Oreochromis niloticus: one gene and its partners. Each later gene encodes a partner of the first gene's protein in a complex. Links are inferred from orthologs where the notes say so. Each region holds a gene or a part of one and is shown on either strand. Other genes may lie near its edges. The genes, in order: smarcc2, dpf1 and dpf3.

Region 1 (7,827 bases):
CTCTTAGGACAGCCCTCTCCAACCTCATAGTCCTCCTCGTTCATCCACTCGTTATACTGGTCCAGATCTAAAATCCACTTTGCATGGACCTGTAAATAAATAATTAATAAATAAACCAATTATTATCTGCCCAGAAGTGAAATATTTTCAGCAATCATGTCAACCACCAGGATGGTGGAGGAGGAGGTGGAAGGAGGAAGAGCTAAACTGAGTTATAATAAAGTTATAATAAAAGTTATAATAAAAGACTGAAACTCATGATATTAACCTCTGTTATTAAAGACTTTATAAAGAACAAGAACAAATTTAAATTCAAGCTGAAATCAAAAAGGTTTCCAAAAACATACAGATGTATCTGTAACATTTAAGTGCTGCACAGTGGACAAATAAAAAAAAAGATCCTTGAATTTAAATACTGCAAGTGTCATGTAGCATTAATAAAGGGGTCAAATACTTGTTTTAACTCAGGGAGTATTAGAAAATCTGCTGTTTAAATTCATACAGACTGACACAGACAGAAAAAAGCAACAACAAATACCTTCCTGGGCTTTTCTGGGGAGGGAGGATCTTCTACCGCAGCCTCAATTTCACTGGCTGCGATCCAGGTATCATAACTAAACAGTGAAAGGAATGAGGTCGAAACTCGCATTAGGTGGGAAAAGCACGTTTGGCCATGTAACACCACAGCAGGAGGGGTAATGTCAGCTTAACCTTCTAAAAACCAAAGATGTATTGAGAAAATAAGAGAAGTAGATAAAAGTGAGCTGCACGGTGCTCAGAACAAACCTGTCAGGAAAGTATCCCCAGTGAAGCAGCACTTGCTTGTCTCTCTTCATCACAGGACGAACCCACTCCTCTGGACCAAGAAGATCAGACGATGTTAGCGCAAATCTGACTCGTGCAGTAAAACTTGTAACAATGCCTACCGAGACAAAACCTCACCTTCCTCCAGACTGGCAGGAATAGGCACAACAACGTGGGAGCTGGAGGCCTTGTCTTCGGTTACTGAGCCCTGCAATACAAGAAAACATGAGTAGAACCATTTGAATGTAAATTAAATCTGTCTGTAGTAAATGATCTGCCTGAAAGGCTCCTTTAAAACACACCTGATGTCTTTTGATGATGTCTTTCAGTTTCCCCAGCAGCTTTGGCTCTATGTCAGGACTCAGGTAGATGACGGGCCTAGTCAGACAGTTGTTCTGGAAGAATTGGAGCAGATACATCACTTACATAACTACATTTGCGAGCATTGATTCAAATAATCAAGAAGACTCACAAAACAATACAATAATCGAAACTCAGTTCTGCCCAATATTAGTTTTGCTATAAGCTTATTCATGCAGTCTTCCATAACAGTCCCAGTTTCTCATGTGCCCTCTTTGGAATATTAATTGCCCAGTACTTGTCCTATGAACTTGATTAAAAGTAGAAATCAGCATGCCACAGCAGATGAAGAAATCTAAATGATCTTGGAAAACTGCAGGACTGATTAAGTAGGATTTCTGTGGTCATGTGACTGGATGTCTTTCAGTACTTCTGTGTGTAATGCTCAGGCAGCGTGATTCCCAGACTCTTGAGAAATTTAGCGTAACCACAGGACACGGTGTTCTCTTTGCTATCATTTAAATTTAATGCCTGCAGTAGGAAAAACCATCAAAAATTTACTCCTGTTAGATAAATGAACCAAAATATGGCCTGAAATTTTCTAGTGTCCATTGACAACCATAAAAGCACTTCTGCAAATCTCACCTGCACTAAGGACTTCTCAATCGTCATGAACATCTCCACATTTCGGTCCATCCTCGACGGATTCTGGAAGTCAAACCTGCGCCTACCAGGAGTTTAGACTGGAGTTACACACGAAACGGCAACATAGCCAATATCCAACTGAGCACCGTAACTTAACAGCCACTAGCCCAGACGCCTAAACTCAGCTAGAAAGAAAGTCTTACCATCCTTGGTCACTTTTGAACTTGTAGGCTGCAGCCAGGATGTGGCAGAGAGCCCCTCCTGACTTAAAGTCCAAGAAGCATTTCATCTGCAGGGATACAACTCAACACATTCAGAATCACAGCGGTTTAAATGAGGTATCTATTTTTGCATGTAACAGATATACAGATGCTTAAGACACGTACCGGCAGCTTGGTAAGCGGAGGGTTACTGACATGTCGACCGAACACCTCCTCCTGGAACTGGAGCAGCTGGACCACCAGGCTGGACAGAGACTTGTTGGTGGGGGGCTCGGCCTGGATGTACTGTGCGCAAACACATGAATATAAACTCAACTGTGCTGCTGGATGCCTTTATCAGATACCTCAAAGGAAGGAAATTTCAGTGAAAACTGCGACACGGATTGGTAAATGGGGAGGGGATGGAGTCACAAATATCGCTAACCTTTCATTTTTATCACTGTTTAGTAAAAAATGATTTTTTTTTATTTGTTTATTGTGTTTAAACACCAGCACAGTCCTCAGTGTTATTCAACACCGGACATTGCTTCAGTCAGCGCGGCGCGCCACAGAGCCAACATCTGGATCCGAGCTGCCTCACCGTTAGCCCATTAGCTTACTAGCTAGCTAGCGGGCTGGCCGGCTAAAGTCACCCTTCAACAAAAATCCATCCTCTGAGGTCAGACTGTGTGCTTGTTTTAGATCGGTTTAACTACAACAGTGCTCAGAGAAGCTGCCGTTAGTGGCTGCATCTGATGCAGCTGTTGGCTCAGCATCCTTTTGTATCCCGGCTCGAGTGAATCAAACAGCTGGACGCTCAGCAGCACCCTCCCTCCTCTCTTTGTCACTGCCTCTGCCCAATAGGTAAGTGGCCATATTTCAACGTGAAAAATGGAAGGTCTCGCTGTAGGATAGCAAAACATGCGGTCGGTACCTTTTTGTAATTCTTTCCCAGCCAGACGCGGACATTATCAAACTGAGAAACGGTATCAGACGCTTCGAAATATTTTACATTCGGGCCGCCGTCTTTCTTCCGCACCGCCATCTTTGCCTGCAGACAACTAGTCGAAGTTGCCTGCCGCCCAGCGACCACAGCGCGAAACTGCAGCCTTGGACTGTAGTGACAACCAAAGTACAACAGGGGGCGCAGCGGTGTAGATAATGTTTTTGTCCTCCAACAATACGATTATAAAAATGTTTATGCTAACCTCTCAGCGAACACACGCACAGATAGATAGATAGATAGATAGATAGATAGATGTATCAGTGGTTTAATGCTGATCTGGTTTGCTGGTAACTAACTGCTGTTTTATTTGAAAAAAAAAAGAGTAATTTAGTAAAATGGAGAAAAAAGTAGACTAAAACTGACAGCGAGAGCTCGTTAACTTCCCTACTTTCTATGTTTAAAAATTAAAGTAATCATTTTTACCCTATTCTTGATTTTATCATACTTTCCTCAACCAGTAAGCAATTAAATTGAGACCAATTAATAAGATGAGTTTTTAAAAAATCATGTCCGGTATCGGATAATTTCTCAATTCGGCTGTCAGTATTTGAAGAGAGTCTTACATAATAGAGTCAGGTGGATCGTTAGGTCATCAAAAGCAAACTTCAGCAGAGCTTTAAGTTATACTGACGGCAGTCTATGTTTTTTTCTGTGTGAGTAAAATCTGTAGAAGCTCAACAAATGCGGAACACACTAATGAACAAATCCTCAGGCGTGTGTAAAATGTACAGGAGCTTGCAGAGTATTAATAAAAATATTATTTAATAACCAGTATTAATAGTTAGTTTGATGCCTGTGCCTGTTTGTAAAATTCACCATATGCATCCACTCTAGAAGTGATAAGGAGGCTGATTATGCCAGTGCCCTGAATGGGCTACATGGTGAGTCTAAAATAAAGCACTTACCTGTAAATGTGTGTGGGGGAAAAAAATGAAATGGCAGCGATTGACCTCCTTAGCAATTAAATGACCTCCTGCAACAGGATGTCAGTAAGAGTGCTCACGAGACACTCAAGAAAGAAGGCAGGCAAGTAGTGTTTGTTTTTTTATCTTTTATTGAACTGTGAAAAATAAAAATGGAAAACGACAGTTTCTGATCCAGTGCGACAAAAAGTAGTAAATCCTGCTATTTGATGGTAATTGACATGATTCGGATATGTGTTTTATGCACTAAGTCAATGGTTTTAACTTAAATCATGGAAGCACTTACACTGAGAGACTTAGAGTGTCCCAGCAGGTGTCCAGTCTCTATTTAACCTCTAGTTTTCAGTGTCATCAGAATCAGAATACTTTAATAGTCCCTAAAGAAATGATGCATATCATGTATTGTTATGTGATTGTGGACAAATTAAATCAATTCCCCTCCTCAGCCTGGCGATAACTACAGGAAATGTGTTTGGAGGTTTTATCTTAACTTGGGGGTTAAGACCTCTCAAAGGATTTTCAATTATCTATTCATAAAAATTAAATGATTAAACGTTGTCTGTTTGTTGTCCTTTTTTTTTGCCTTTGTGTGTTTAGTAGGACTTTAAGTTTTTTCTTTCAATCCTCCATAAACTACTCAAATGGACAATCTTATATAAACTTACTGTGTGATAAAACTGAGCAGTATTTTGTATGTACCGCATGAGGAGTCTCAACTGTGCAGTGCTTCATTTAAAAAGGTCATGTGGGGAAAAGGTGGTGAGCATTATCAGAATTTGAAAGTTCAAATTAGATTCCAGATTTGGTTCAGCTAAGTGCCAGAGTAGATATTTTTTTCTGCTATTCCCTATTATGTTGAACACTTTGATATTTTCCTCTGGTCACCTTTTATTTCTTCTTATAAAGTACTTGTTTTAAATCAAAACTACATATGTAAATATGTGTTCAGTTAAATTGCTGCAGTAAAAGAACTAAAAATTGCACACATGTCACAAGTTTAATGTTGTATGGATACAAGACTTTTAATTATACAGCATATTCAGTATGTATATGTATATATATATATATATGTATACAAAAGTCTTTTATGTGAGAGCAAATTCAGCAGCCATTAAAGTTCAGAAATAACGGAGCAAAATATAGATATGTCAGACTGTTTTCATGTTCCTGACCTTTAAACTGGCCCTCGTTTAGTCAGAGGCTGAATTAACCTTCATTAACAGAGAATAGGTGTGTGTGTGTGTGTGTGTGTGTGTGTGTGTGTGTGTATGTGTGTGCATGTTGCCTGACCCAGACTAATTTGTGAAAGTCCACAGACACCACTGGGCAGAGTAGTGCTCCTTGAACTAGTATTCCTCAGACTCTTGGTGTGTTTGTATTTGCTCAGGAGCGTGTGCGTGCGTGCATGTGTGTGCATATCTTTGTAATGGTGCGTGTTTGTGTGTGTGAGCGTTGTACACAGGGCTGCCTGTGCTGAAGGAGAGAGAGTGAAGCCTATTGATTATTTTAATCCTCCTATTTGTGAGTCTGTGATCCTCTCGGCTCAGCCTTCCACAGGGGGATTGCTAATGGGGCTGAACGCTTCCCTCCTCAGCCCTCTCCTCTCCCTGTCCAATTAACTTAACGCTGGAATCTGCAAGGAGGGAGTGCTGGGACTCAGAGGGAGGGAGACACTGCCGAGATACATGCCCAACAACTCCCCCCCCCTCCCTGTGCAGCATTCCCCTTACCTCCTGTCTGCTCCTCATTCAGCAAGAACCTCCTTGTTCTGAATAGTATTAGCTCTCACCTTTAATTAAAGATCCATCTCCTTGTTTTTATTCCAGGGAGGTGAGACTCCCTTTCATGTTTCAATGTTTCACTTTCACTGGGTGGCTTCGGAAAGGGCCAGAAGCAGCAGCAGGTGAAGAAACAAGTCTGATAATGGGAAAGCTCTCTTCAAACAGGTTGCTGTAGCAGCAATTATGACAAATCTTTGACATTTCAATAACTATTTGCAGCACTAGTACGTTCAGCTCACTCATGAAGAATTTTAGGCATCAAGCTTTTTAATTATAAACCTGAAAAAAAAGGGTATTCACAAGGCATTGTTTGATGCAATTAAATTTTATATTCAGGCTCCTCTGTCTTCACTGAATGTGTGCAGGCAGTGCAAAAGCAACCATGTACAAACCACAACACATTTTTCTTATTCATATTATTTTTGATCAATAGTTGAATTTTGTGCTTAGTACAAAAAATGTTAGCATGCTAACATGGATGGAAAAACCTTCAAAACATCAACATGTTAGCATTCTAAGCCTGTTTGGATGTTAAAGTTAGCATTCAGGTCAAAGCAACACTTTAGGAAAATCAGAATATTGTAAAAAGAAACATGTCTAAGTAAAGAAATGCTGCCTGTTAAAGATATGGCTTTTTTTTTTTTTACAGAATAGATCAGAATATCAAATATGTGCCCATTTGGCAACATTGTGTGGCTATGGATGCCTGTGGCTGACATGATCCTGCTTAACCAACTCACTAAATTTGGAATACCTTATTCTAGTTGTGTATGTTTTGTTTTTGGGATTTACTGCCACTAAAATTCTACAAAGAGAAACACGCAGCTAAAAATGTCCACAAATAAATGTAATTTACAGTAAAATCAATGGTTTTGCACACATACAACATATTGCAATTCCACCTTTACAGTGCTTATTATCCTGACCAATTTGCACATTGCCAGAAATGTAAACTTAGTTAAATGTAATTTTGCACATTTGCAGGATGATTTGCGAATCTCATAAACCCATAATTTATTCACAATAGAAACACAGAGATTTTATGCTGTTCTAATAGATGCAGTTTAGCGTTGTCTTGCTGAAATATTATAGGCCTTCCCATCCTGGTGGGAGCATATGTTGTTCTAAAACCTGTAAATATGTTTCAGCATTGTTGGTGCCATTCCAGTTGTGCAAGCTGCCAATTCAATAGACAATGATGCACCGCCGTACCATCAAAGATGCAGAATGGTCCCTCTCCTCTTTAGACAAGACCTGTTCTCCATGTTTTCCATAGAGGGTTGTCTGTACACAGACCAGTTCTCCACTCTGTCTCAGTCCAGATCTCAGAGATGATGGTGGTGTTTGAGGATCATGTTGAAGCTTTAATCTGCGTTTGTGTATGGCACGGCAAACTGTGTTCACAGAAAAGGATTTCTGGAAGTGTTCCTCAGCTCATGCAGTGATTTCTCTGCTTGTTTTTAATGCAGTGCTGCCACAGGGCCAGTGATTTCACAGAGATTGCACACAGAGATTTCTCCAGATTCTCTGAATTTTTTGACATTATGCAATGTAGATGATATTGAAGAGATATTCAAACTTTTATGTTTAGGACCATTGTCCTAAAATTATTAAGCAGTTTGTAAATACCGTTTTGGGTTTTTGTTGCAGATTGATGAACATTTGCCTATTTTTACTTCTGAGAAACTGTGCTACTACAAAATGTTCTTTTTATACCCAATCATGTAACTGATGAAGTAATAAGTTTTATTAATCCAATCCAATTACCCTTTTTTAATTACCACCTACTTTTCCAGCCTTTTTCATCGCCTCCCCAACTGAGATATCTTACTACTGTCAAATTCAAAATGAGCTAATATTTTTCACTGGGCAGATTTGCTAAACAGAGAAAATGAAATAGTGCTCATAGGTGTAGTTAGTTTTACAGGTGACTTGCAAAGTTGCAAAGCTGTATTTTAAACACAGGTGTAGACAGATTATTATTATTGATGCAAATACCAGTAAACATTAGGAAACCAGTTTGCTTGTTTTAAAGATTCTCCTCTCCCTATTTTGTGCCTTGAGAAAGGAGAGTACCAATTGTTTTGGAATTAAGGTTGTATATTTTTAAATATACAATAAATATATATATTTTTTTGCTGTTCTTCTTTTTCATATTTATGCAAGAC
Region 2 (7,893 bases), on another chromosome or scaffold:
TGGATGGCCCAAATATACAGTAGATACATCTTAAGGAACTCTTAGCTGTAAGCTATATAACGGGGTTTCGAGGGATCTGAGAGAATGCGTAGGAATTTCCCATCGATGTAGTTTATTAAAAGAGTGGCCATGCCTTGATTCACAATGTAAAGAAGAGTGGTGGGAGGGGAGAGGGCTCAGATGGTTTGAGGCCGAAAAGAAGGAAAATGGACAACAAAATGAGAGAGAGGGAGAGAGAGAAAGGAGATGGCTGAATAAAAACGAGAGATGGCAAAACTAGTGATGGATTGGGAAAGTGGTGAAGAAGGAGGGAGGCATATAGTGGAAGAGAGGGCAGCAGGGTGATGGGAGGACAGAGAGGAAGTAAAAGGGAGGGAGAAAGAGAGATTATAAACGAGTCTAATCCAGCAGAGAGAGAGTGAGTGATAGACAGGGAGAGGGGCTGGTAGGGAAATGCCCAGCAGATCGGATGGAGCTCAGTGTTCTCCTCCCCTCATTTGCTGTTGCACATGAACCCTCCACCGTACCTCCACGCACGTATACTGGCTGTCACAGTGTCCCACTCACACTCAGCTGGACAGTGGGGACCAGCAGCTTCCCAAAGATTTATATACACTGAATTAATGCCAATTCACCGCAGAGATCCAGCAAGGTTTGGGGACATTCATGGGCACAACAGGCGTCGTCTCCAGGCGCGCAGGGCTCAGCCACCCTATTAGGGCTGACTTTGAACCCAATTTTGCTGGTTGTTTGGCCCATTTTACTGGATGGGTCCCTAATTTGTAAGCCTCTAATAGCAAGTTTGTTTGTAGACATGCTAATTACAAGGGCTTGTTTAAAAGCCCATTGCAGAGCGGTAACTGGAACACAGTTAAACCCACACTGCGTAATGATGGCATTTATGCAGTTGGTGAGATATTAAAGGCCGCTTTGATTGCTGTGGCCTTGTGTAATAAATAAATAAATACATCCAGCTTTGTCCTCTTCTCACGTGCTTTAAGGGAATCCAACATCCCTGCAGGGTTGATACTGGCTAACAATATGGAGGTTTTTGTCTAACTTGAAGCACTTAAAAAGAAATCAGTGTAAGACCACCACTCAAAATTGGGCTGTAGTTCATTAGTCACTCTTTCTAACCACTTACTCTGCTGTCTTTTGTACACTTTTCCACCCATTCTATTCTCCTCCTCGTACCCAAACCCTGTGTTCTCTGTCTGTGTGTCTTGGTGTGTACTCCATGCAAATGAGTCAATTTAATCCCCTGACATGGTGCCACTGAGGGCCTCTGGGAACAATCTGGACACACTTTTTCTTTGCTTGGATGAGCATCCTGTGGAGGAGAGGAGAGGAGCCTCCATCATTTTCCACCCGTCCATTCCCGTCATCGGCATTGCCACATACCTGCCCTTTAGAGCATAGATAAACCAAAAATAAATGATTCATCTCCTGCGTGTTTGCGTTATATCTGTGGTCCCTGCGTTGCGTTGTAGCGCAAGTACTTTGAACCAAAACACCCCCAAAATACCATCACAGTCAATCAGGGCTCGCTGACCAATCAGCACCGTTACAAATCCAGTTCCCTCTCTCGTGTGAGGAGCTTTTCACAGCAGGCACGTACAGGGCAGTCGTTCATGGAAATGCGCGAAATGTCGCCTCTCGGAGAAGCTGACAGACAGACAGACACTATATCCCATCTCCCTGCTCAGGTAAAAAACCTGCACAGCATCCGATGTGCCTCCCCCCCTCCTTCCTTTGGCACATAGGTCTTGTGACTTTTCTTTGTTTCAAACTGCCTGAGCTGGAGCGTTTGTGTGCTCAAACACTCCAAGGTACTCGAGCTATTGTTTTTTTGTTTTTTTGTTTTGGCTGAACGTGTGTACCCGCTGACAGACGCACATCAGCCACCTTTTTGGCCGGGAGCCGAGGCGGGCAGCAGGCGTCTGCATTCCGCTGAAACCAGTCTCAGAACAAAAAACAAAAAAACAAAAAAAAGACATTCCACTCTCCCCCCCGCCCCCCCCCCAAAAAAAAACTGCACAAAGGGGATCATCGCGGAAGAAACTTCACGGGGAAACCCGCCGCTTTAACGTCCGTCAGTGGAGATAAATGTCCGCTGTGATGTAGCTGCACTAAATGTAAAGCGCCGGGCTTTGGATTGGATTCCAGGCTTTATTCTAAGCGCCGAAGATGAAAGCAAGTCTTGGAGGAGCGTTATTTACCTCGCACTATACGTTTCCAAGAGGTCCAGCGGTAAAGGTAACGCTGCAGCCTAAAAACCCGGGAACGGAGCACTTCATTCTGTCTACCTGTTTACCCCCTCTCAGCCCCCCTTCAACAAAATATACACACAGGTACTGTAAAGCCATCTAAACCATCCCCCTTCCTCCCGGACAGCCTTGCCACTCCAGCCCGGCTTTGGCCGTGATCTTGGCTGGCTGCACTGGCAAGGGACATACCGGGTCACCCAAATCTACCTCCAGCATTCCTCCATATCCCTGCACACACGCTGCTGTTGGCTCAGAGAAATGATTATATGAATTGCATCGGAGCGCGCAATAATCCCCCCACCACTCATGCCCAAAAAACCTCCCAGAAACCTCCATCAGCTTTAAATCTAACTTTTCTCCGGGGCTCATTCGCCTCTCCTGACATTATCTCATTCTCCGCTGTATGCACTGCATGCATATAGACGCGTTGGTAATCATGCTGGGGAAATATGTGGGAAATTGAGGGGCTTAAATTGACAGTGACAGCATGCACAATGCCCGAAAAAAGCGCAAACACTCAGGAAACGTGTTGTACTTACGATTTGAGGGGGTTCTGTACCGCTGTGGCCATTTTGATATAGTATGATAGAATGCAACACTGCAGAGCCCGGTATTGTACATGTAATGTAGCAGCTATTTCAATTTCATTCATTCTCTGGGGCTGCGGCTGGAGCGGCCAGCCAATGGGAGGCGGGAGCGCTCTGTGACAGCTTTGGGGAAGTGTAGTTTTTATGCATGTCAACATGAGACGCACCGAGGAGCACAGTACTACAAGTTCCAGGGGGGGTAGCGGTTTAAGTGGACCACGGTCCCGCCTCGGACTTGTTAGGGCAATGCCCCCCCACACCCCCCATCCGAATTTATAGAAAAGAAAGAAGAAGAAAAAATCCACCACAGTTATGTTAAGGTTGGGTTGCAGGACTGTCTGTCAGTCTCTCCTATAAGCATCGTTCCCTTGTCTGGATGTGATGATGACTCTGTCTCTTATAGCTGCTAAACACTAAATTGTGTTTGTTTACAGAGGTATGATTGTGGATATGGGTGCAAATTTGGGTCAGGTATCACCTTAACTGCACTGTAAAGGGAATAACTGGATACTCGAGTAGCAAAAAGCACAAACTAACTGCATACAAAGATGTTTGCCTGTTTTGTTAAGGAAACTGTGACAGGTCTGTATAGTCATTTGTTGAAAATCAAGAGAAGTTGTTTCTGCGCAATCTTAGCGGCTTCATGGCTAGTCTCATGGATGTTAGGTAGCCCTGCAATGAGAAGCTTTAATTATTCATTAATCAGGGGTGATGGGTTGGGAGTAGGCCTATAATTGATTCTTTCAGACATTTGTCTCTCATAGTTGAGCCCGGAGAAAGGCTGGGACCCTCTCTAAATCCTTAACCACGCCATCCTTTATTGCATCCTTCCCGCACTCGCTCGTTTTCTTGCCCATACTACATCTTTTGCTGGATCTGTCCCAGATGGCGATTTTATTTGACACAGGCTAGAGACAAGGGTGTTAAAAGCGACTATGCCAAAGCCTGGGCTGGCATTTTCCATTCCCTAGACATTGGAAGGAAGGGAGGGAGGAAGGGAGGGAGGAAGGAAGGAAGGACTCAGAGCCGTTAGAGCAGCAATGCTGGAATTTCTTTCTCCATGTCATGTTAGCAGCAGTGGCGCCGCTCTGAAGCCAGTGACATGTGATATTTATAGATCTGTGCTAACAAATATTTAATGAACATTAGCAAGCAGCTCTAGCATGGCAGCACCGCTCCGATAAAACACTCTCTGTCAGTTAAGGAAACTTTGATTTTGTGCGTTATGCTTTAGTTGTGAAGAATAATAAATGTGTTATTTTATATTAACGTAGCAAGAAATGGTAGATGAACGTTATTTGTGTTTGGTTTACATCATTAATCTTAAATAAGAAAAAAAATACATATTACAGGCTACAAAAGACCGTGCACATGGGTCCACATGGTTTTATTTTATGCTTTCTCATTCCCTGATGAAGGAAGTTTGTTGAATGGCATGTGAGGTGCTGTATTGCGGCTGACCACACGGTGGTGCTCATGTACAGACCAAAGTCAAACAAGCGCGTCTTACGTCGCTGCCCTGCGTGCCCCCATCTGGCTCCTCCTATAGTCCACGCGCTGTTGTTGTGATTGACCGACAGGTAGGCGTCATGTGAAACTTTCGCTTTGCTGTTTGGTGCCGCTGCCACAAATGCGTTTCAATTAAGTAAACAACGATGTCCGATATACTGATGAAAGAAATGGATAGTTTGTCGATCAGTCCATTGAAGCCAGAGGACCGACCCGACGACGGCGGCCGGAGCTTCCTGCTCGTGGACGAGCAAGAAAACCTGCAGGTAAAGTTAGCTAACATCAGCTGAGCTAACGGCGGCTAACAGTTAGCCGCTAGGCTAGAAAGGGGAAGACTCTTGTTACGGAAGGCCCTTAACTATCTTTTGTGACGAAAAGAAAAAAATGTTGGATGAGCCAAATCTGCTTTCAGAGCTAAATCGAGCTTTTTGTCTTGAAGCTAATGAAGCAAGTTTGTTGAGGCTTTAGCTACTTCACGGCGCTTTGCTAATGCGACGTTAAACAGCGTGTTTGGATGTTCGTCGTGTTTAGCCCCTTGTGTTTTTAGCCTTTGTCTGTATACAGCCCGTGGCTTTAACGTGTGGATGGTGTCTTGATTATAATACTGTGAAAAACATTAAGTTTAAGCTGTAAATAAGAGCAGCACAACAGCAGACAGGGTTGTTATTAGGAAAGTCCCTGGTGAGTCATACAGCACAGCTGACCCACATGGAAGACACCCTCACACTGTGTTACAAAGTACAAGAGATAATGTTTTCTTGTGTACTTAAGATAATCTGTATGAACAACTAGCGTTAAGATTGAAGCGACTAATCCCCCGCAGTTCTTTTTTTTGTTTTGTTGTTGGTTTCTTTGTTTTAAATAAATAATACTGTTCATAAAGAATCAGTAAAAGTAATTTGCTCAATTGTATCACGGTGCCACAAAATAGCTCATCTCTGTAACCAGCGTGTCTCTTGGTGCTCTTTCTCCTCTCATCCTATAGGTCCGGGATGAGGCCGAGTTCGTGGAGCGACTTGGCTGTGCTGACGTAGCGGGCGTCAAGGTCCTCTCCATCTTTGGAAACACCGGTGATGGCAAGTCTCACACGCTCAACCACGTCCTATTTGATGGCGAGACTGTTTTCTACACCTCCAAGTCCCCCAGCTCCTGTACTGTGGGAGTTTGGGCTGCTTACAACCCCACTCTCAGCCTCATTGCGCTGGATACAGAGGGCCTCTTGGGAGCCGCAGCCAATCAGAACCAGAGAATGCGGCTGCTGCTGAAGGTAAATTTAGCGGTTGCTGCTTGGTTTGGGTGGAATAATTGGAGGAGTCTGTGATTTTGTGTTCTGAGTTCTAGTGTTGTCTTCGTTAATTTTTCTACTGAGGTAATGCTTATATCCTAATCATGTAAACAGAACAGTGAAACTCATTTTATTTCTCATTTCCAATGTTTTCATGATAAAAACAAGTCATCTTATTTGTAGATACATTTTTATTTCAATTTCAGGTGCTGGCAGTGTCGGATATAGTGGTGTATCGCACACGGGCAGAGCGTCTTCACAATGACATGTTCCAGTTCCTGAGTAGTGCCTCAGGGGCATACCTGAAGCATTTCACCCCAGAGCTAAGGGCCCTGTCCACCCGCTGTGGTCTGGATGTACCCCTGTCCTCTCTGGGGCCTGCAGTCATCATCTTCCAGGAAACAACACACACGCAACTCCTGGGCCAAGGTACTTCCAAGCACAACTTTAGGATAATTATTTCCCTTGGTTTTAATTTCCCGTGTCACAAATTTAAATGTTATTGTCTTTCTTTCCTGTTGTAGACTCAAAGATGGCCGGCTATGCAGACACACTCCTCCAGAAGCGTTTTCATGACCTGGGTTTGGGGACAGAGGCCTTCAGCTCAGTGCAGTACATAGGCACTCAGACGATCACGCCGCCCACGAACTATAGCGGGCTGCTAGAGGCCATCAAGCAGCAAGTGAAGAACACTCATACCCGGTCCCCCCGCCAGCCTGCAATAGTGTTTCACGCACTAGAAGTAAGTGAAGAAGCACCATATTAGAGGCCTTTAAGAAAAAGCATATGATTGTTTTAATTCTTCCTTTGTGTCTCCTCAGCCTTTTTTTCAGCTCCCATCTAGTTTTCTGTCTTCTAATCCGTTCTGTTTTTGTTTCCCCAGGCTCTGAGTGAACGTTTCTGTGGAGAACTATCAGATGAAAAGATGACACTGTACTCCTTCTTCCCAGATGAATACTTCACCTGCTCAGCTCTCTGTCTCAGCTGCAAGTAAGTCAGTAACACTGTCTACACACAAGAGCTAGAACTGGTCCTTTAAATGTGAACGTATGCTCAACCTAAACCTGAAAGCACAAGGTCAAATTCTTTGAGGCTTGAAATTTTACTTTATGTAATTGTCTTTTTAACTCTTTGCATTGTTTTTGCATTGTTATGAAATGTGTCACTTTTTTGAAAAAAGGAAAGATGAATAATTCCTAAATTATGTAAATATTTAGATGTTTGAGAAGTGTGTGTCATACCTGTATTATTATTATTGTTGATCTGGAAACTGTACTGATCTCCAGCGCTGGGTGTTTGCAGATTACCTAATCACCTTGGATGGACTGTTATTATAACCACACCCCACCTTTCCTGAGCTTTTTCTCATTTAGTTTGATCCAAATAGTTCAAGTTTTCCATCTCAGAACAGCAATCTTTTACTGTCTCTGTGATTGAATCACAGTAGAGAACAATATTCTTTTAAAATGGGAATCCTCTGCTTTTCTCATGGATGTTAACTACCTCCTCAGTGGGATGCATAAGTGCTAATTCTTTTTCCATTTTTGGTGAAGAGAAACCTACTTTGCTTCTTAGCTACTCTTCTTCCTTCCTCTTTCCTAAAACCTGAGAGCAGCGTGTGTGTGAAAAATCATAATGAGTGCACTGTAACCATAGGTTTTAAGCATTCTTACAAATCCCCCCTCTCCTTCACCAACTCTAATATCTGTCATGTTGGTGTGACTCTCTAGCATTCGCTGTAAAAATGGAATGAACCACCTGAGAGACAGAGTTCCCCACATGGCAGATGGACTCTGCCAGTATGCACACCAGTACAACAACAAGGTCCTCATCTGTAAGGTAAGAACAGAATTTCTCAGCTAGTATTGGTGAACCTGTATGTTGTTGTTGTTTACATCTGTTACATCTGTTGCATGTCCAGAGGTGCTATGAAGCTGGCAGAGAGGTGATTGTTGTGCCCAAAACATCAGCTTCGTCTGATAATCCCTGGTTTGGACTGGCCAAGTACGCCTGGTCAGGGTATGTAAACTCACATATACACACTTAGGCGGACGCTCACACTCCTCTTTGCCTTTCAGCCAATAATCTCATTTCCACTGTCTGCTGCCTTGTTCCTCTCGTCCCTCTTTCAGATATGTGTTGGAGTGTGCTAGCTGTGGGGTAATCTACCGCAGCAGACAGTACTGGATGGGAAACCAGGACCCAGAGAGTGGTGTGGTGCGATCAGAGGTCAAGCACGTCTGGG
Region 3 (7,431 bases), on another chromosome or scaffold:
CTTGACCCATAAGTCATTTCAACTCAGCATGAGCATCACTGGAGGAAATGTGGAGAATAAAATGTTTGTCCAACATAAAATATGCTATTTTATATTGTAAAGGATACCACATGCTTATCTCTCAGCTCTCCAAAGTCTCACATATACCCATAGAGAGAGAAAAATGTTTCCATGTGCAGAACATGAAAAAAAAAGAAAAAGCATTGATCACTGCTTGGAGGTTTCCATTTAAAAAAAAAAAATGTTCCTGTCCATTTAATTGTCTGTGCCTGGAAACCATTCCATTCCCATTCCCTGAGCTCGGATAGACAAAGGCCAGGGTTCACCCCAGCGCTCAGAGTGTAGTATAAATGTATGCAGCAGGACTAAATGCAGCCAGACAGACACCCCTCCACCCTCCTCCATCACTCACTCATGCTCCCTCTCACAAGAACTGGGGGAGGGGCGCACTTCCACGCATACATGCAAAAAAAAAAAACCCACAATAAAAACACACGACCCCAAACACACTGACAACCCTACATCTCCCTTACATTTCCTCTAATCTCAGTTCAAGTTCTCTCAATCCTTGTGCAAACACAACCAAACCACATCCCACCTGAGCTCTTTGGTTTTTATTTACAAATCCAACTCTAATGAAAGAAGGTAACAGGCGCGATATCCACATCTCTGCATATGAATCGCGGCGCTTATTTGAATACTTCTCATGTCGGCTTCTCATTATCCCACCCGGCCTCCCAGGATTCAATTACCAAAAGTCTTTTTGAAAATGAGAATTTGAGTCGGTCGAGGAAAATATGCATTGCTAAACATGAGTGAGCGAGTCCACAAAGCCAGACATATTTACTGCCATGTTCCTTATGGTTATAACTCATCTGTCAGAGCTGGGCACTGGCAAGAGAGCAGGCTAGATTATTACCACGTCCTCACTGAGCGCGCATTATTAACGTGCCACATCCTGAGTACGACTCAGAAGTAAGGCCTATTGTTTCAAACACAGTAGACTCTGTCTAAAAAGTAGACCGCGACTTTACTTCCCAAGGTTGTAACTCACATGTTACTTGATACTGGGTCTTACATTCCAACACATTACACTTCACATACACTTTTCATTACAGTTGCCTCTCATTATTTTGCTCTGAGCTTATACTAGTATGTCTGTTGTGGTAGGTGGGGTCCTGTGTCCATATGCATATTGCTTTCCCTTTTTTGCAGATATTAGATTGGTGGGGGGTGTCTATCTGAGAAAGCCCTGCTGCATGCAAAGGGCAGATGGGACTCCCTCCCTCCCTCTGCCCCAGCATCAGCCTGTCTTTTTTTTTTTTTTTACGTGTACCTCTCTGTTAACAGATGGACCCAGCGAAACACTGAAATACTGGGACGCTCTTTAATCTGCTGCTCTACATGCACACAAAAGCAAACACATATACCTTCATTCCCTACAGCCTAATCTGTTTCGGTAAAAGACAGCAGCATTAAGTCCACCCCCCTCCACACAGTAACCATTTATGACATGTTTCTGGTTGTCAACAACAACAAAAAAGAGCTCTACAAAATAAGAGCATCATTTCAGAATCTATTTTAAGGGACCCGCAGCAGCATTCCGTTCAAATTATTAAAACACTTGCCTCTTGCACAAGAAACTGTCAAACACTGCGCATTCCACATGGCCAGTGGTAAACATCTGCCGTCAGCCAGCAGCAGGAGGGGGAACATGCATTCTGTGATATAATGAAAGTTGGTTTTATCCCGTAAATCTTTACTCTACTTAGGATCCCATCCCATTAACCTTTTTTTTAAACCCATGCTCATATACACATTTTTCCACAAATGCATTTTCAAACCGCCAAGATCGGCTTTAAGCAGTTTATTCCTCCACGCACACATATTAAAGTTAATGTAATAACCTGCTGTGCGTGTGCTTGTCAGGCTCAGACAAGCACGAGTCGCGCAATGGGAGCTTTGTGTCAGTGCTTGCATTATATTAACTACGCAAATATCCCCCATAAGGACCGTAGGCAAACTTCTGACAGACGGATTTGTTTTTATTCTATTTATTTTTAAAAGTAGAATGTCCGCAACTTTATGCATAAATGAAACTGAATGTAGTCATTTGCGCGCGGACGTGATGTTTTCCGTCCGTACACCGTGCATAAGTGCATGCTTTTATATTCGTATTACACAATACAGCAACTAGGCAACGGTACCTGAAGATACGGAGACTGCCCAAGTGTATGCTAAAGGTATTAAATGTTAGACTTATTTAAAAGCGCGTGCAATCCCCATACAGTCATAATAGCTCGTTACATTTCTCTTACACGATGCAGTAATTAAAATAATAATAACAAAAAAGAAATGTACTTACGATTTCAAAGGATTATGAATGACAGTCGCCATCTTCCTGTAGGACTATAACGTAATATTCCAAATCTCGGTGTAGTTTGGGACCCTAATGAAAAAAAGAAAAAAAAAAAAAAAAAAACAGCCAATGCGGTCCTGTGCGCTGTGCTCCCTGCCAATACAGCACCAGCATCAGGACTTTAGGCGTGGCTTCAGATAAATCTGTCAAAATTAATGCCCCAGACCCCAGATTGTAATAACACCATGAAATTAACTTGATTTAGCCTTAACAGTGAAAACCACAACATGAATGCTATGTAGCATGGGATACTATTACAGTCTCACTTCTAATGTTTTTGTTTGATGTTTTTTGAGGTTTTAATGGCTGGAAAATAAATCCAACTACATATCAAACATTAATTTTGTTTTTTGTAATTTAAAGTCATTGCCGCTTTAAAATATATCGTGTTAAGGGCGTATATATGTCGAGCAGTCACTTATCACAATATCCAGCTATTTCCGAGAATCCAGTGAAATAAAAGTAATTTTCTACACGGTTATCCCGAGAGCTCGCGGAGAAACTTACCAATGACTGTCTAAAACGTCAGATATTATTGTTCTCAATGGACCAATGAAAGACGTGTGGAGGCGGGGATGGCATGGTTGGACGTTACTACACGGGAGTTAGCTAGCTAGTGAGGTTTAATTACTTTCATGTTAGTGCCATGTTATTAAGAAAATAAACCCAGTACAGTGTCAACTCAACGTTTGTTTATCGACCTATAAATACGTCGTTTACTTTAATCGATGGTGAATGTCCAGCAAACGTGTCAAAACGTGTGCAGAAAGATGTGCAGCTAACGTTAGCCCAACGGTGTTGATGGTAATCTGCCTATAAACACCCGGACTGCCAAACACAGAGAAGTGAATGAAAAGCAACACGCAGTCAGGACCATTTTACTTCTACGCCGAACCATAAGAAATGAGGAAGTGGAACTGGCGAGAAGGACAGCGACCGCACACGCGACAAGGTGCTGGTCAGCGCCGTGGATGGCACCGAGGAAACCGACAGCAGTGGTAGCTACGTTAAATGACACTTATATCACGTTAAAGTATGGAGGATGTGCCATACTAAAATACAGCGTTTGTAATGACAGTGATCAGTATGTCAGTATCATTGTTGTGTGTGTGTGTTTCCTGTTCAAAGGTATGAACGTGATGATGCAGGGCCCTCACACAGACCATCTCAGAGGCAGCATGCTAACCAGCCTGTCTCACATTCCTCTTCTTCCTTGTCTTCCTCGTCTTCTTCTAAAGCCAGCAGTGCTGCACCAGGTCAGTAACATACAGTATTGAAAGTGCATGTTTGCGTTCTGGAGCCACCAGCCCTTATTATTAAAGGCAAACGAGAGCACAACACTTAAATTAAATACATATGTACTTAAACAGTAGTTTTGCATCCAGTGTCTTGTCCAGGAGCACTTGAAAAAAAGAGGATACACTTGGAAAATCAAATGAAAGATGCACAAGCCTAATTTCTACCTCCTTTTCTCCTGCCAGAGCTGCCAGGTTTCTATTTTGACCCAGAGAAAAACCGTTACTTCCGGCTATTGCCCGGGCACAACAACTGTAACCCACTAACCAGAGAGCAGCTACAACAGAAAGAAAGAGAGAAGGAGAGGAACAAGATGTTGGCAGAAGATGAAAAAACGAGAAAAGTAAGTCTGTCGTCGAGGGTGGTGGGCAAATCTTTTTAATCTTCTTTGTCTTTTAGCATTTTTATCATATTTATTCTTTTAAGATTCCATTAAGCTTTTTCCTGTTGCTGTAGACAGACACAGTCATCTGATATGCTTAAGTTATGCCCTCTAGATGAAAGCTTACCATAAACCTTGTGCAGTGTACTAAAGGATTATGGCTATGGCAGCAGCTGTAATGACATCATCACAGTACAGCATTAGAGCACAACTGTGATCTGTGTAGGAATAAAACACTTCACAGATCACAGTTGATCTTAGCATAAGCACATGCTCTTCTTCAATCCGGAACATAAATGTTTAAGAAGTCGTAAAGAAAGAAACCTCGGTTGTAAACATGTACACACATTTTCCTTGTTGTTTACAGAAAGCACCAAGAAGAGGACTAAACACTTCGCTGCTACTTCAGAAACGACATCTAGGCGTATTACCTGAGCACTCCTATTGCAGGTACTGTGTCACAGCGCTGCAGGCACGCAAAACTCAACATAACACTGTTTTTCCCATGTCCTAGCCACAGCTGTAACGGATTATGGGAAACAAAGAGAAACTTTAACGCTAATCAGTTCTGCATGTGTAGAGTGACTTTTCTTCTGAGCTTTGCTGGCCACTAATAATGATGCTAATCTGTTTAGACAAGTTATTCTAAATGGTAATAAAAAGATGGAGAAACATGCATAAATGCAGTCAAAGAAAATACTCTGCATCACTGGGAATGATATGAATAAATGGAAAAACAAAAAGTAATGAAATGCATATGAGGAAGTTTCTAGTTCTTTTTATCCTACAGGCAAACTGTCTAAATAAATACATAAATTGCTACAGAGACACTGTCAGAAAGCTAAGAGGAAAGTGTATCAATTATCCTGGGTTAGTAGATTGTCTGCAGACAGTGCTAGTCTGTTACTATGGTTACTTTTGGTCTCCAGACTCGTCCATGAGGTGAAGGTCAGTGGAATGAGACGCCACAAACTAGAGATCCAGAGCACAGACAACAGCATCTCGAACACCGACAACTTCAGACTCATAGTGGTGAGAACACTCACACACACACACAAACACAGTGCAAAACACATGTTTCAATGGAATAAATGTTAGTTAGAGTTGGTTTCACGGGAGGGAGAGGGAGTTAGAGCAGTTTGCTTCATCCAGAGGATGATTTTGGGTCCACCAAGGCCCTGTGTATGATTTTTTTTTTTTAAAACAACAAAAAAGATTGTTTTGAATGTTAAACGTTGACGTTAGAGTCCTTTTTTTTTCTTAATTGCTGGAAATGAACACAGTAGGTTACCTTTAAAAATGGCTCCTATCTGTAGTTGATGGTGTGCATACACTTTGTTTCTTTGTTGCTGTTTCTTTTTCAGGGGGATTCGGCGTGTGAGCGAGTGTTCACAGTCAACGATGTCTCTCATGGCGGCTGCAAGTATGGCATCATGAACTTCAGCAGCAGCAGCAAGGGGTCTCTGTCTGTGGAAATGTGCGATAACCTCTACTTCACTAATCGGAAGGTAGGAGCATTTCTTTGGAGATAAAAGACCTTCTCTGAATACAAAGAATATGTTTGCATTTTTTTAGTTTCTATTTAGTACACTGCAGGAAATAAAAATGAATTAATTCACATTTATCTTGGAGCCTGTTTTTATGATGTTTCTACAAACATTTGGTCTGTTTAAATAATATTAATCACTCTGATCTGGCTAACATGTTTCAGGTCAATTCCATCTGCTGGGCTTCAGTAAATTACCCCGATTCTCATGTGTTGTATCCTTCCACAGTTTAATTAGAGCGCTAACTCTAGTTCACTTAACCTTCAAATGAAGGGCTTAACCTGGCAACAAAGATCACTTATGAGTTGTCCTTTTCATTTGCATTATTTGTGGATTCATTTTGCTGTTGTTTTCAAAAGACTACACTTGGTGACTATCATCAAAACGGTAACATTTTAGCTCTATAAAGTGCACACCTGTGTCAACATCTCTTCACTGTTTTGGTGAAACTTGTATGTCCTTGACTGAAGTAACTATCAGACTGTGTCTGGTGGGAGTAGCAGACACCCCTGGCTGCGTGAGTTTACTTCCTGCTTCCCTCTTCAGCAACTCCAACCCAGGTTTGTCAGGGTTCTTGCACAATATGCAGCAGTCACATTGCCTTTTTGTAGTTCATTTCTGAAGGACCCAGGTAGCAGTATGGTAAAACATACTTTTCAAATAAGCTTCTTCAGTCTTGGAATTATTATTCTAGAAGACTTTTATTTTGAAATATGTTTTGAAAGCAGTTTTGCTGTTGTTGTGTACCTCCCTATTACCCTCAACACCCTTCTCTTCTTACTTCTTGTACTCCTTCTTCAGATCAGCCTGGAATGCTGTGCAGCTTTAAGATATCCTCAGCCTGGTCTTGTGCTTGGTGCCTCAACCCCCAGTTTGACAAGACGTTCAGCACTGGTTAGTACCGCAGCTAAACATTTTTGTCATTATAGAAAGGAGAAAATTACACATCTAAAATAATCATGTTTATGTGTGTGTTGGCAGGCCTGTCTCGTAGAGTGATTGTGAAGGATGCAGAGACAGGCAGAACACAGACGTACAGCGTCGGCAGTGATGTCCTGGCTCAGCAGTTTGCCCTTAGGGTGAGGCATTTGTAACTTTAAAGTTTTTGAAGCACTCTGTAAGAACACCAAGCAAAAGAAAGTACATCTTTACGTCCACAGGTTCCTGTCCTGTTTAACGGTTGCAGATCGGGGGAGATCTTCAGCATCGACCTCCGACAGCGCGGCCGCAGAGATCACAGCTGGAAGGCCAGTCGCTTCCATCAAGAATCAGCCATCACCTCTGTACGCGTCCTGCAGGATGAGAACTACCTGCTGGCTGCTGACATGCTGGGCCAGGTCAGGTTCTTGACTTGACTCTTTTTCTTCTTAGCCTCATGCGGAAAGACTTGGTAAACACAGTACCATCAGGCCATACTGACAAACTGTGGTAGAAAATATCAGGAAGGAATGATTTGAAATTAGGTAATAATTCAAGGATAGTTCTGTTGAGCCTTTGTGTGTTTTCTAATTTCTTTGCAGATTAAGCTGTGGGATGTGCGAGTCACAAAGCCAGTGCAGGAGTACAAAGGTCATCATAATGAGCATGCCTACCTTCCCATCCATGTCAATGAGTGTGAAGGGCTTTTGCTAGCAGGTAGGAGAGGATAAAACACTCTCAACACTCAATACTCTCACTGGTATAAACCTTTTTTCCATGCAATTTCACTGTTTACCGTTCTTTCCACAGTGGGTCAGGATTGCTACACAAGGTTATGGAGCCTTAAGGATGGTCATCTATTGAGGACC

What was found.
Region 2: smarcc2 (region 1) and dpf1 share a complex: the UniProt entries of both Homo sapiens proteins name them as parts of the neuron-specific chromatin remodeling complex. The link is inferred for Oreochromis niloticus from reciprocal best matches to the Homo sapiens genes SMARCC2 and DPF1.
Region 3: smarcc2 (region 1) and dpf3 share a complex: the UniProt entries of both Homo sapiens proteins name them as parts of the BAF complex. The link is inferred for Oreochromis niloticus from reciprocal best matches to the Homo sapiens genes SMARCC2 and DPF3.

What each region holds. Positions count from the first base shown.
Region 1 is NC_031970.2:23,534,619-23,542,445, forward strand, and holds the start of smarcc2 (SWI/SNF complex subunit SMARCC2), read right to left. Parts: upstream 3,037-7,827; 5' UTR 2,995-3,036; coding exon 2,884-2,994; intron 2,256-2,883; coding exon 2,136-2,255; intron 2,039-2,135; coding exon 1,953-2,038; intron 1,832-1,952; coding exon 1,750-1,831; intron 1,200-1,749; coding exon 1,107-1,199; intron 1,013-1,106; coding exon 943-1,012; intron 857-942; coding exon 787-856; intron 615-786; coding exon 539-614; intron 90-538; coding exon 1-89. UniProt on the Homo sapiens protein: Involved in transcriptional activation and repression of select genes by chromatin remodeling (alteration of DNA-nucleosome topology).
Region 2 is NC_031979.2:8,686,172-8,694,064, reverse strand, and holds the start of dpf1 (zinc finger protein neuro-d4), read right to left. Parts: upstream 3,058-7,893; 5' UTR 3,013-3,057; coding exon 2,807-3,012; intron 1-2,806. Other genes in the region: si:ch211-11n16.2 (zinc finger FYVE domain-containing protein 1), read left to right, coding at 4,510-4,629, 5,349-5,630, 5,855-6,077, 6,173-6,390, 6,532-6,638, 7,379-7,487, 7,570-7,667, 7,781-7,893. UniProt on the Homo sapiens protein: May have an important role in developing neurons by participating in regulation of cell survival, possibly as a neurospecific transcription factor. Belongs to the neuron-specific chromatin remodeling complex (nBAF complex).
Region 3 is NC_031980.2:5,880,082-5,887,512, reverse strand, and holds the start of dpf3 (zinc finger protein DPF3), read right to left. Parts: upstream 3,015-7,431; 5' UTR 2,927-3,014; intron 2,844-2,926; exon of another isoform or gene 2,450-2,843; 5' UTR 2,398-2,449; coding exon 2,366-2,397; intron 1-2,365. Other genes in the region: wdr21 (WD repeat domain 21), read left to right, coding at 3,323-3,417, 3,548-3,675, 3,901-4,058, 4,465-4,547, 5,027-5,129, 5,462-5,605, 5,809-5,858, 6,125-6,204 and 5 more. UniProt on the Homo sapiens protein: Belongs to the neuron-specific chromatin remodeling complex (nBAF complex).